2 linked regions of the Danio rerio genome follow. The protein of the gene in region 2 purifies or fractionates together with the protein of the main gene of each other region. This does not show direct contact. Links are inferred from orthologs where the notes say so. Each region holds a gene or a part of one and is shown on either strand. Other genes may lie near its edges.

Region 1 (4,837 bases), on a different chromosome or scaffold from region 2:
CAATAGTGTTCAGCTTTTTTCTGACGACTCCTCCCTCAAATTTTCATTGGCTGTGGTTTGGTAGCTTGAATGAGCTGATGGGGAATGAGATGTTGTCAGATCATGTAGTGTGTGACCCCCCTCTTGTGGATCGTTCACGAAGTGTTGCGTAGTGTGAACATCACAGAGATCAAAAGACACAAAGTCAAGTCATGTGGTGTGAACAGCACAGCGATCTGCTGATGTTTAAAATCCTGTAGTGTGAACTAGGCTTTAACTGTTTTATGCTAGAAGACTTGTAAAATGGGCCTTTTTCAAAAATATATAGTGTTCCTTTGAGGATCATAAAATAACAGCCACTCAATCACAGCTGGTCTCACAAAAAATTTGACGAAACTAATGACGTTTGAGGTTACAAATTAAAAAGCGAAAAAAGTGACTGCACCTGCCGAAGTAGCTCAGCAGGTGAGAGAACTCTAAGGGTTGTACTAAGGTTACCATTTTCACGAGTGTACTGCGGTTATCCTCTCACAAATGCCAATATAATTGGAGCATTCTGTTCTTTTTGAAGTAGATTTGTCATTATGCACACTTGGCTAACAAACATTGATGAGATTCATTCATTTTAGGTAAGAAAATTTGGTACTGAATGCCAAGACATTTTTTGATTCTTCATTTTGTAATTGAAACAAGGCAGTTGAAGTATTAAACTTAACACCCAGCCCTAGCAGTCATCAGTTAAATTTGAACAACATTAATCCAGTTTTAATATATGTATATGCGCACACATGTTTGTGTGTATTTAAGGAAGGCCCTAAAATCTCTTTTCAAAGGCCTCACCTCTTGACCCTCTTCCTTGTCTTTCCGCAGACGATGTGCTAAGATCTCCACAACTTTCTGGAAGATGTTGGTCAGAATGCGGATAGTGAGGGACAGTTGATCTTCCTGTCCCTCAGCCTTTTGGGAAAGGCAGCCATGTGCAATCTCAGTAAGCAGAGCAAGCAAATGAGGGATGCACATGTATCCTTTCTCTAAAGTAAGAATAAACATACATTTAAAAAAAGCATTGTTATATTGTTATAAGATTTTGCATAACATTGTTATAACATTTTGTATAAAGGGGTCAAACCTAATTTATTTTAACAACACATAAATCTGTCAATCTTTCTTTAATCTGATAATACATAATACAATCTCTGGGCTCTGGATCGGCATGATGAAAACTACAGCACCCACCTGTCTGCAGTACTGAGGCAACATGCTGCAGTAAGTGGTCTCTGAAATCACTGTCTCCAACAGAAACCCGCAGCACATTCTTGCACACGGTTACACAGCTCTGACAATGATAGAAGAAGGGAAATAAATCATATACAAGCAAACCAAAACCATCTGCACAATCTATTGTAAGAATGTGAATCAATGGATTACTTTTAGAATTAGTCTTCATGTGCCTGATAACCTTTTTAAAAGTATTTATTTACAGTGCACTGTTTAAAAATCTAAGTATTTAGTTCATTGTACACGGAGTCTTAAATTTGAGCATGTTTAAAAAATAAATCCGACCTCATGTTGAGTCAATTGCATTAACACACTGTCTCCGAAATGTTTGTCAGGTTTTTTTTGCATCCATAGAAAGTCTTTTGAGACGTTATGAGCCAAAATGCAGGGGGAAAACCATACAAAACCTTCAAACTTTAGTGAGCAAAGACCTTTAATCCTGTCTTAGATATATATTTATAAGTTTTTAGCATATTTTGTCAACCTATTGCTTTTTTGTTCGACAAGATTTTGTTGAGTAAACCTCTGGGAATTTAGTTGAAGTCAATGGATCTTTTTTTATTTATACTGCATAATGGTTAAAACTGCTAAAAACAATTATTTTACTCAAACATATAATCACAATTACTGATCAAATTTGTTGACATTTTCAGAAATCTAATCAGAATTACTGAACTTTCATGTAAGCACCAGTCAACTAAATGTCAAGAACACAGATCGCCTTTATTACTTTATTTTTAGAAGCATTTGACATTGGAGATTGTTAAATTTACATGTTAGGCATTGTTATCAGATCATCTGTGCTTTGTGTCTCAGTCCAGAGAGTGCGACTTTATGATTGAAAGATAAAATAAAACAAAACATCTTCTGTGACATCTGGCAACTGTTTTTTCAAAAACATTTTTCATCAGTGTCACACCAATCTCCAGAAGTCATTTTACCAGCTTAATATGTGTTCTTTTGACAGCTATATTACATTACATATGGTGTTCATCCATGACAAACTACAAAAAACAATTAAAAATAAACAAACAAATAAATAAATAAATAAAACAAAACTAGTTTTGACAATAATCAAACCACTCACCTCTACAATCTTTGTGCTTAAGGACAGTTGTTGTTCACTGCTGGAGTTGACCAAGAAAGGAAGGACTCGCTTCTCAACCCAGGACACCGAATGTTCCAGAGATTTGAGGAACTCCCGCTCCTCTGGAAACTGCAGAATTCAAAAGAAAGGCAAAATCAGGGTTCCCACTTTAAAACAAATATTAAATTCTGCTGATTTTAAAGTAAAATTAAGCAAGTGACACAACATTTTGGGAAGCATGTAATTTTTTTAATTGGTGCAGACATCCTTTGGCCAGCAAAGACACCGTTATAATTTATTCCGTACCATCAGCATTGTTTTATAATAATAAACATTATATTTGCGTATAGAAAGTGCTTATATGGTGTGCAATACTTTGAGTTGTCAGATATGGTTTAGAAGTGGCATGTGACTTTATCCCAAAGCCCATTTGAAAAAAACTACATTCATTGTAACAATCACTAAAATTACAATTTTAACATGATTTTTCCAGTGTGGTTGTTGTTTTGAACTATTATTTTTATCATTTAGACCAATGGTCTCAAACTCAATTCCTGTAGGGCCACGGCTCTGCAGAGTTTAGCTCCAACCACCTCCAACTCACACCTGCTTAATAGTCTCTAGCAGTCTGGAACACCTTGATTAGTTGGATCAGTTGTGTTTGATTGACATTGGAGCAAAGCTGTGCAGAGCTGCAGCCCTCCAGGAATCAAGGAACCAAGTTGGACACCCATGATTTAGAATTATGCATCAAATGTGATGTAGGCTTTATATAGTTGGGTAGTAAACAACTTTGGTTCTCTCAGTGTTCACTTTAAAAAAATTACAGAAACAAATGGTTCTTAAGGTCAAAAAAGTAATGAAAAAACTGTATAAAAAACTAAGAAGTGTATATTTGTATATATTCTCATGTACATTTTGATAAGAAACACTGACAATATTGCTGTAAATATTTAAAGAATTAATTATTTGGCAATGATTTTTTGTCATAATCATCTAAAATAAAATGCATGTACACACACACATATATATATATATATATATATATATATATATATATATATATATATATATATATATATATATATATATATATATATAAATGCTGCAGGATAGGAGTTTCACTTGTTCAGTCTAAAAGAAACTTACAGCACGCAGTCAAGCACTGCTTGATCAGTATTTAACAAAATCTGAGTCATGTCCAATAAAACCCAGCCTCAAAAAGATGGGCCTACATTAACTTCTGAAATTAATTTGTCGTGTCACTTCAGTGCTAAGAAATTGATACTTAATGCACACATAGGCAACTTATATTCTTAAAGCACCTTTCACATACTAAGGATATAAATTGTGTGAGTGTGTTCAGTGACAAGGGCTCAAAGAGTGCATGCAACAGTGTTATGGCTGTACACTCACTTTGTGTTGAAGATGTATACAGAGTCTGCCATGGAAGATAAAAGCTCTCAGTGCTGTCTCAATGGCTGCCACGCTGACCTCTGATCCGCTCAAAAAGGAGAACAGCAGCGACTGGACACATTCACAAAAGAGCAAAGACAATAGATCCACATTTCATGTCACACTTTGGATTCAGTTTAGGACCATGTAAAGAAAGTTTAAAAAAACATGGTTATACCAGGTCAACGTTAAGACTTTAAGGCTTTTCATTTTTGTTTAAAAAAAAAAATGAAAACTTTTTAAGACCCTACAAAAACCCTGAAAAAAACATAATTTTTTTCAAAGATAGAGGCTGAAAAACATGTAATATAATATTTGAAGTCTGACCTTGGTAAACAAAACATCCTTGAATATAACAATTCTGTGAGCTTTCAGAGATATAAGTAGATAATAAGGACAAAAACATCACGACATTTAGCCATGATTCAGCTCTGTGCAGCACTATTTTCAAAGCAAGGCCACAGAAAACCTGCAATTACCTTATTGACTTTGTATCTAATGACAGTAATAACACGACACACAATAAAAGAGTAGGCTTTCACCAATTCTCTCTAATAATATTCTCAACCTTCAAGTTTGCTGTACCTTCCATTTGTTGAGGGCTTTATGAAGTGGTCTCATCTGATCCAGGGGCAGTGTGAGCAGACATTCTCGTGTTTTAGGTCTCAAGAGCATGTAATCCAGATAGTCTAGGCCTAGATCTGGCTTTGACTCCTCCAGGACATCAAAATGCACTTTGCCAGTTGATTCTTCATCACCCTGCTAATGAAAGAATGAAGACACTATAATGAAAAGCTAGGTTCTGAAACTTGGTGCCATACCAATGTAACAAGTAAGTATTTGGATCAAATTAAAATGCAGATTTTGATGCATGTGATGTATGATTTTAATAATTAAAAATAACTTTAATAACTAAATTAAACAACTTTAATAATTAAAAATAATTTTTAATCCATCATAATTTGTGAAAAAGCACAGACACAGCAAGTTAAGGAATGATTATTCTTATTACAAGCTACAGACTAGTATATGATTAGT
Region 2 (5,306 bases):
CTCAGTAGATTATAAGAGGCGGAAATTAGCTTAGCAAATAAAATCTGATAGCAATTTAAATGAATCACTGAAACAACATCCAGGTGGCATCATCAGTGGTGCACACTGGTGGTGGATGAGGAGATTCCCTCAATGTGTAAAATGCTTTAAGTGTCCAGAAAAGTGCTATATACAAGTAAGGAATTATTATAATTTACATTTTTTATTTATTTAGCCAAAAACGGAGCAATCTGCTCAGTTTTTATAATAAGTAATCCATAAGTGAGCCCTTGTTCTCCTTGGGCCTGCCCCCCACTACTCTGATGGACTTTGTTAGACAGGAATTGCCCCCTTAATGAATATTCCCAATGAATGCACTATTAATTCCTGCCCTTGTTTTTAGATCTGGCTGTTTGTTCTCCACTCACCTTGTCTCTCCTGCGCTCCAGCTCCTGTATCTCTGCACTGAGCTCCTTCACTTTGGCCTCATTCTGTTTCATGTTCTCCTGCAGCTTTGCGATGGAGCTCTGCATCTCTTGCAGTTCTTCATTAGACTTCAGCTTGGTTTCCTCGGCACACACAAACAGGTACGCCACGTACAGCCGACTCAGGTGTTCAATCTCTCGCATGAGCTTCTGGTACTCCAGATAGGATGCACGTTCCTGAGAAGAAGCAAATGAGAGCAATACACTTTACTACATTTTTTAAGGTAACTGGTTGCAAAACTTTTATATACGGTCTGATTTTAAACAAACCAATTAAGTTAAACATTACTAAATTTAATTTGTTTAAATTCAGCCCATATAAATGGTTTGCAACCAACTACCTTAAAAAAAATGTGTAAATCCAGTTAATCATTTTTTTGAGTGTAGGACAAGGCATAAGGATGAGTATATATTGAGTCCTATGTACTCTGTCTGCAGTAAGGAACTGATGCTGTTAGAAAACGCTTTTCAAAGCAGCACATAAAGGCACACAGTAATGTATAGCCTTTAGATTACATTATTTATTATTTAGCTACTTTATTATTAATATACCAAAGGTATAAATAAATAATATATGGTTTTAATCTAATCTACACAAATACTTTAAATTATAGATATGTTATTTATTATTAATCTGTTATTCATTCATACGTTTTTTGAGGGGGGTTTGACAGTAAAAAGTAAATGTGCTAACACCATGCTAATACCATTATTTTACAATGAACTACACCTAAAAGAAAAATTAAAAAAAATTAAATGCCTACCTCCTTTAGTTTCTCCATAGCAGGGGTGATCTCCTCATCTAGGATCTGTCCCACACCCACAGAAACATATTAGGATTACATTTTCAAAAGATTAAATTGTTGTTGAACATTAATATTTAAATGTACGTACAGTCTGAATTTCTTTGAGCTTGGCATCTTTCTTCTCAATAGTTTTCTGAGCACTGATCTTCTTACATTCGTACATCCTTGTACCTGCTGCTTCCTCAATCATGGCCAAAATCTAAAAATGGAAAAAATAGGAAATTAACATCTTGGTATCGTTTTTTTTTTTTTTGTTTGTTTAATCAAACTGACTATTCCTTTTTATTTAAATGATCTCTTACCTCAGGAGGCTTCATGTTTAAAACCTTGGTGATTCTCCCCTGGAATAAACAGGTAAAAATAATGAAATTGCTCTGTTTTGAGATATGCAAATCCAAAATAAGGGTACAATATTAAGGATTCAATAGCCATTCAAATGGAATTTGCTATATTATGCAGCATTGCAATATTTAGCAAATTTTGGATGAAAATATTAAGAGGTAATTTACACCAAATCAAACAATGATGTGAACTAGTTTCTGTGAATATGAAAACACAAAGACTTCATATTGAATGTTCTAAACCTCCCTGTCAATAAGTTTTGCACAATTTGAGAAATAGCTAAACCTAATCTATGTGTTGTTTTTTTTTTTTAAATATGTAGGCTTTGTTAAACTCTTAATAAACTGTTGTAAATCACTTGCAAGATTTTAATTCAAAATGCTTTTTAAGTTACATACGATTAATAATTAACTATTAAACCAGTGTAAAGAAATATTAAACACACAAAAACAGAATCTAAAAAAAAAATAAATAAATTAAACACATATATATATTATTCCTGGGACCACAGGCCCAAAAAGATTTATAAAAACATTGAGAACTTAAAATTCACTATATTATTTTCACCTATATAAAACAAACTTATATCAAATAAAATCTGAATTTTGCAGGGGAAAAAAATTGTAAAAAAGTTTTTAAAGCATTATTTCATAAATGTGATAATAATAATTATAACAATAATAATTGTAGAATATTATGAGGCCATATAACTTCTCTTATGATGATTACCTGCATGATGAGAAAGTGAGGGTTGTTGACATTCAAGCCAACTGAACAAAACAAATCCTGGACACGCAGGTTGTTCGCATTTACGCCGTTGATGAGGTACTTGTTGCGACCACCTATGACCACCTGCACAACACAAATAACATCTTCACATTCTCATTCTTAAAGGTGAGCTGCTATCTTATAGTGAAAATGGCACTGATTTTAGGTCATCTACCTGTCGTGTGATGGTAATCTCATCATGCGTCTCAAACCCAAGTGGACTCTGTTTCTTATTGGAGTTGTCAAAAGTGATGGACACTGTTGCCTTGGTGATCCCAGCCAGGCCATTTTTGTAAACCAGATCTTGGAGATTTGTGGCACGAACCTACAAAACAAGCAGCTTTAGCTTTAAAAGTCGTTATATGTATTTCTATTTTATTGAGCACATCTTTTGTTTAAGTTTAAGTTATAAATATATAATATTCACTTATATTTTGTTTGCCTTTTGTTGTCATCATACAATTTATTAACAACATATGTGACCCTGGAGCACAAAATTAGTCTTATATCACAAGAAGGCTATATTTTGGCCGTAGCCAAAAATACATTGTATAGGTGAAAATTATTGATTATTCTTGTATGCCAAAATTACTGGTAATGTTATATTAAGTAAAGACCATGTTTAGTGAAGACATTTGGTAATTTTCCTACGGTAAAAACTCAATTTCTGATTAATAATGCCCTTTGCAAACCTAATATGGAAAACTTCAAAGGCGTTTTTCTTAGCATTTTTTTATTTATTTTAGATTTCAGATTTTCAAATAACTTCCAGTTGTATGCATATCGGCTAAATGTGGCCCTATCGTAAAAAAGTAACGTTATACATCAGTGGAAAGATTGTTTCTTTAGGTTTAAGATACAAAAAAATGCACGTATCTCTAGTTTTGTGGTAACTTACAGGGTCACATATAACAATGAAAATGATTGTATTTCGTTTTTCTGCAAACAAAAATAAACAATGTTAAGCTAAACAACAATCAAAATAACGCAATCACACCTTAAAAACGGATTTATACACATTGCTAAGTTCTGATAATAAATAAGCATGTTTAAACCCTCACCTGGGAAAGGTTCGAAATCCCCAGTAAAAAGCAGATGGAGTCGAGTATATTTGACTTTCCGCTGCCGTTCAGTCCAGTGATGGCGTTAAAAAACGGATCAAATCCGTTAATCTCTGTCCTTTCGGCGTAGGACTTGAAGCCCTCTAGTACAATCGACTTTATGTACATTTTATCGAAATGATATGAGTAAAATCCACTAACAACGCTTGATGAAAACAACCTCCAAAAGCCCCGGCGTTGCTTTCAGTTCAACCATCTAAACTTGAAATTTGGCGCCAGGCGCGTTTCCGCTCCGCCGTTCAAAAAAACAGAACAGATTTCAAATTCCAGTAAAATCACAAGCAATGAATTTCACTAGAAGCCTGGATATATTTAGACAAAATCTAAGTTTATTTGGTAAAGATTTACAGTCATTACAAGCAACGCTTTGCTGTCAGAAGTGAAATAAATGTACAACATTTTTTTCAGGCTACTTTTTAGCCACCACAATGATGAAGGACCCAAAACATTGAAGCGTGTATGACGTCATTAGGGCGGTTTAGCTCAAGCTGGCCGGCTCGAATGACATTTGATCGTTACGTTCAAAAGAGTGTAGTTCAGCGCACATTGAGGCTGTTTTTAATATGATGGCATGTTATTACACGACTGTACGAAATATCAGATTACAGTAAGTCAGTCGCGGCATTCAGTAGTTAATTTTCTGATTGCCAAACGCTACATTTAGTACCTCCCATAGCTGTGATAGTTATATATCCACATGTAACGTTAATAAAACCCTTTAATCCCAATGTAAATAATTTCACAATGTATATGTTTATTTTATTACAAAGGTATAGTACTATATAGCCTACTTTATATTATCTGGGAGTTAAGTTAATTGCGGCCAAGAATAATACATGCATGGAATTGAATCTTTCCAAAGTTAACCTACATTCTGTATCATTTGCAAATGTGCATAAATTCGTGGCATAAATAGTTAAATGTTTGCAGTACTATTGCAATGTCACTGATTCAACAACGCAAAGCACATTGCAATAGAAATGTGAAAACAGCAGTTTTTTCACCAAAGAATCTCACCCACAATTATAATATCTATGTTATTATATCTAAACGTGCTGTATCCACGTTTACCTCACAGTTTTACTTTTTCAAATGTTATACCACATTAGAATAAATCGACTAAAGTACATGCAAAATATGTAACATTGCATTAATAACAAATATACATTCTCAAAATTCAAGTCACGGCATAATTACACATCAAAAACAGTCTTTTACGCTACATTTGCACAAGGCTAAATTGGATTTCACCCACACTGTGGAGTTATGTTACAGTTGCTGTAGGTCTGAGTGCTCGGAGCTTGGCTAAGTGCTCAAAACACAGCATAGTTTTGTACACTCCCTTGGGCTTTTTTTATACACTTTTTGTCAACATAACATTTTTAAAGGCAATTTGAAAGAAATTAGACTCATTCAAATGTCTCTGCTTTCTCTATGCCAGAGGGACCGGACACATGGAAAGACACACCAAGTTAAAGGCATAGAAACAGACCTGCGTGAGGACAACACAGTCACCACGATCTGAATACATTGCGGTGGGCTGAATGTAAGTCCAGTCAAAGTTCTTAAGCTTCAATGCAGTGTGGTGATACTTCCTGCTCAAGGACAGCAGACAGCGGGCCAGGGTGTATTTGGCCGCACAGCTCACTGCTCTGATGGGCCGCACCGAGTTGAAATGCATCAAAAAACAGGGATCATCCTAACACAGCAGAGATATGCAAATTGAACATCTTCCAGTGGAAAGAAATAGATAACTCTCCCTGATATAACACTAATATCGTAAGCAGTAGGGCTGCACAATACAT

The links. Proteins that work in one complex are often made in the same cells at the same time.
Region 1: the proteins of smc2 (region 2) and ncapg2 purify together in Homo sapiens (affinity purification with western blotting; 4 studies listed by BioGRID and IntAct, with this or other methods). This does not show direct contact. The link is inferred for Danio rerio from reciprocal best matches to the Homo sapiens genes SMC2 and NCAPG2.

Annotation. Positions count from the first base shown.
Region 1 is NC_133182.1:40,560,870-40,565,706, reverse strand, and holds part of ncapg2 (condensin-2 complex subunit G2), read right to left. Parts: intron 4,562-4,837; coding exon 4,385-4,561; intron 3,872-4,384; coding exon 3,761-3,871; intron 2,474-3,760; coding exon 2,345-2,473; intron 1,316-2,344; coding exon 1,216-1,315; intron 1,011-1,215; coding exon 820-1,010; intron 1-819. UniProt on the Homo sapiens protein: Regulatory subunit of the condensin-2 complex, a complex which establishes mitotic chromosome architecture and is involved in physical rigidity of the chromatid axis.
Region 2 is NC_133176.1:21,039,843-21,045,148, reverse strand, and holds the start of smc2 (structural maintenance of chromosomes protein 2), read right to left. Parts: upstream 3,705-5,306; 5' UTR 3,610-3,704; coding exon 3,442-3,609; intron 2,706-3,441; coding exon 2,556-2,705; intron 2,465-2,555; coding exon 2,342-2,464; intron 1,612-2,341; coding exon 1,573-1,611; intron 1,470-1,572; coding exon 1,359-1,469; intron 1,274-1,358; coding exon 1,229-1,273; intron 642-1,228; coding exon 408-641; intron 1-407. Other genes in the region: exoc1l (exocyst complex component 1-like), read right to left, coding at 4,934-5,200. UniProt on the Homo sapiens protein: Central component of the condensin complex, a complex required for conversion of interphase chromatin into mitotic-like condense chromosomes.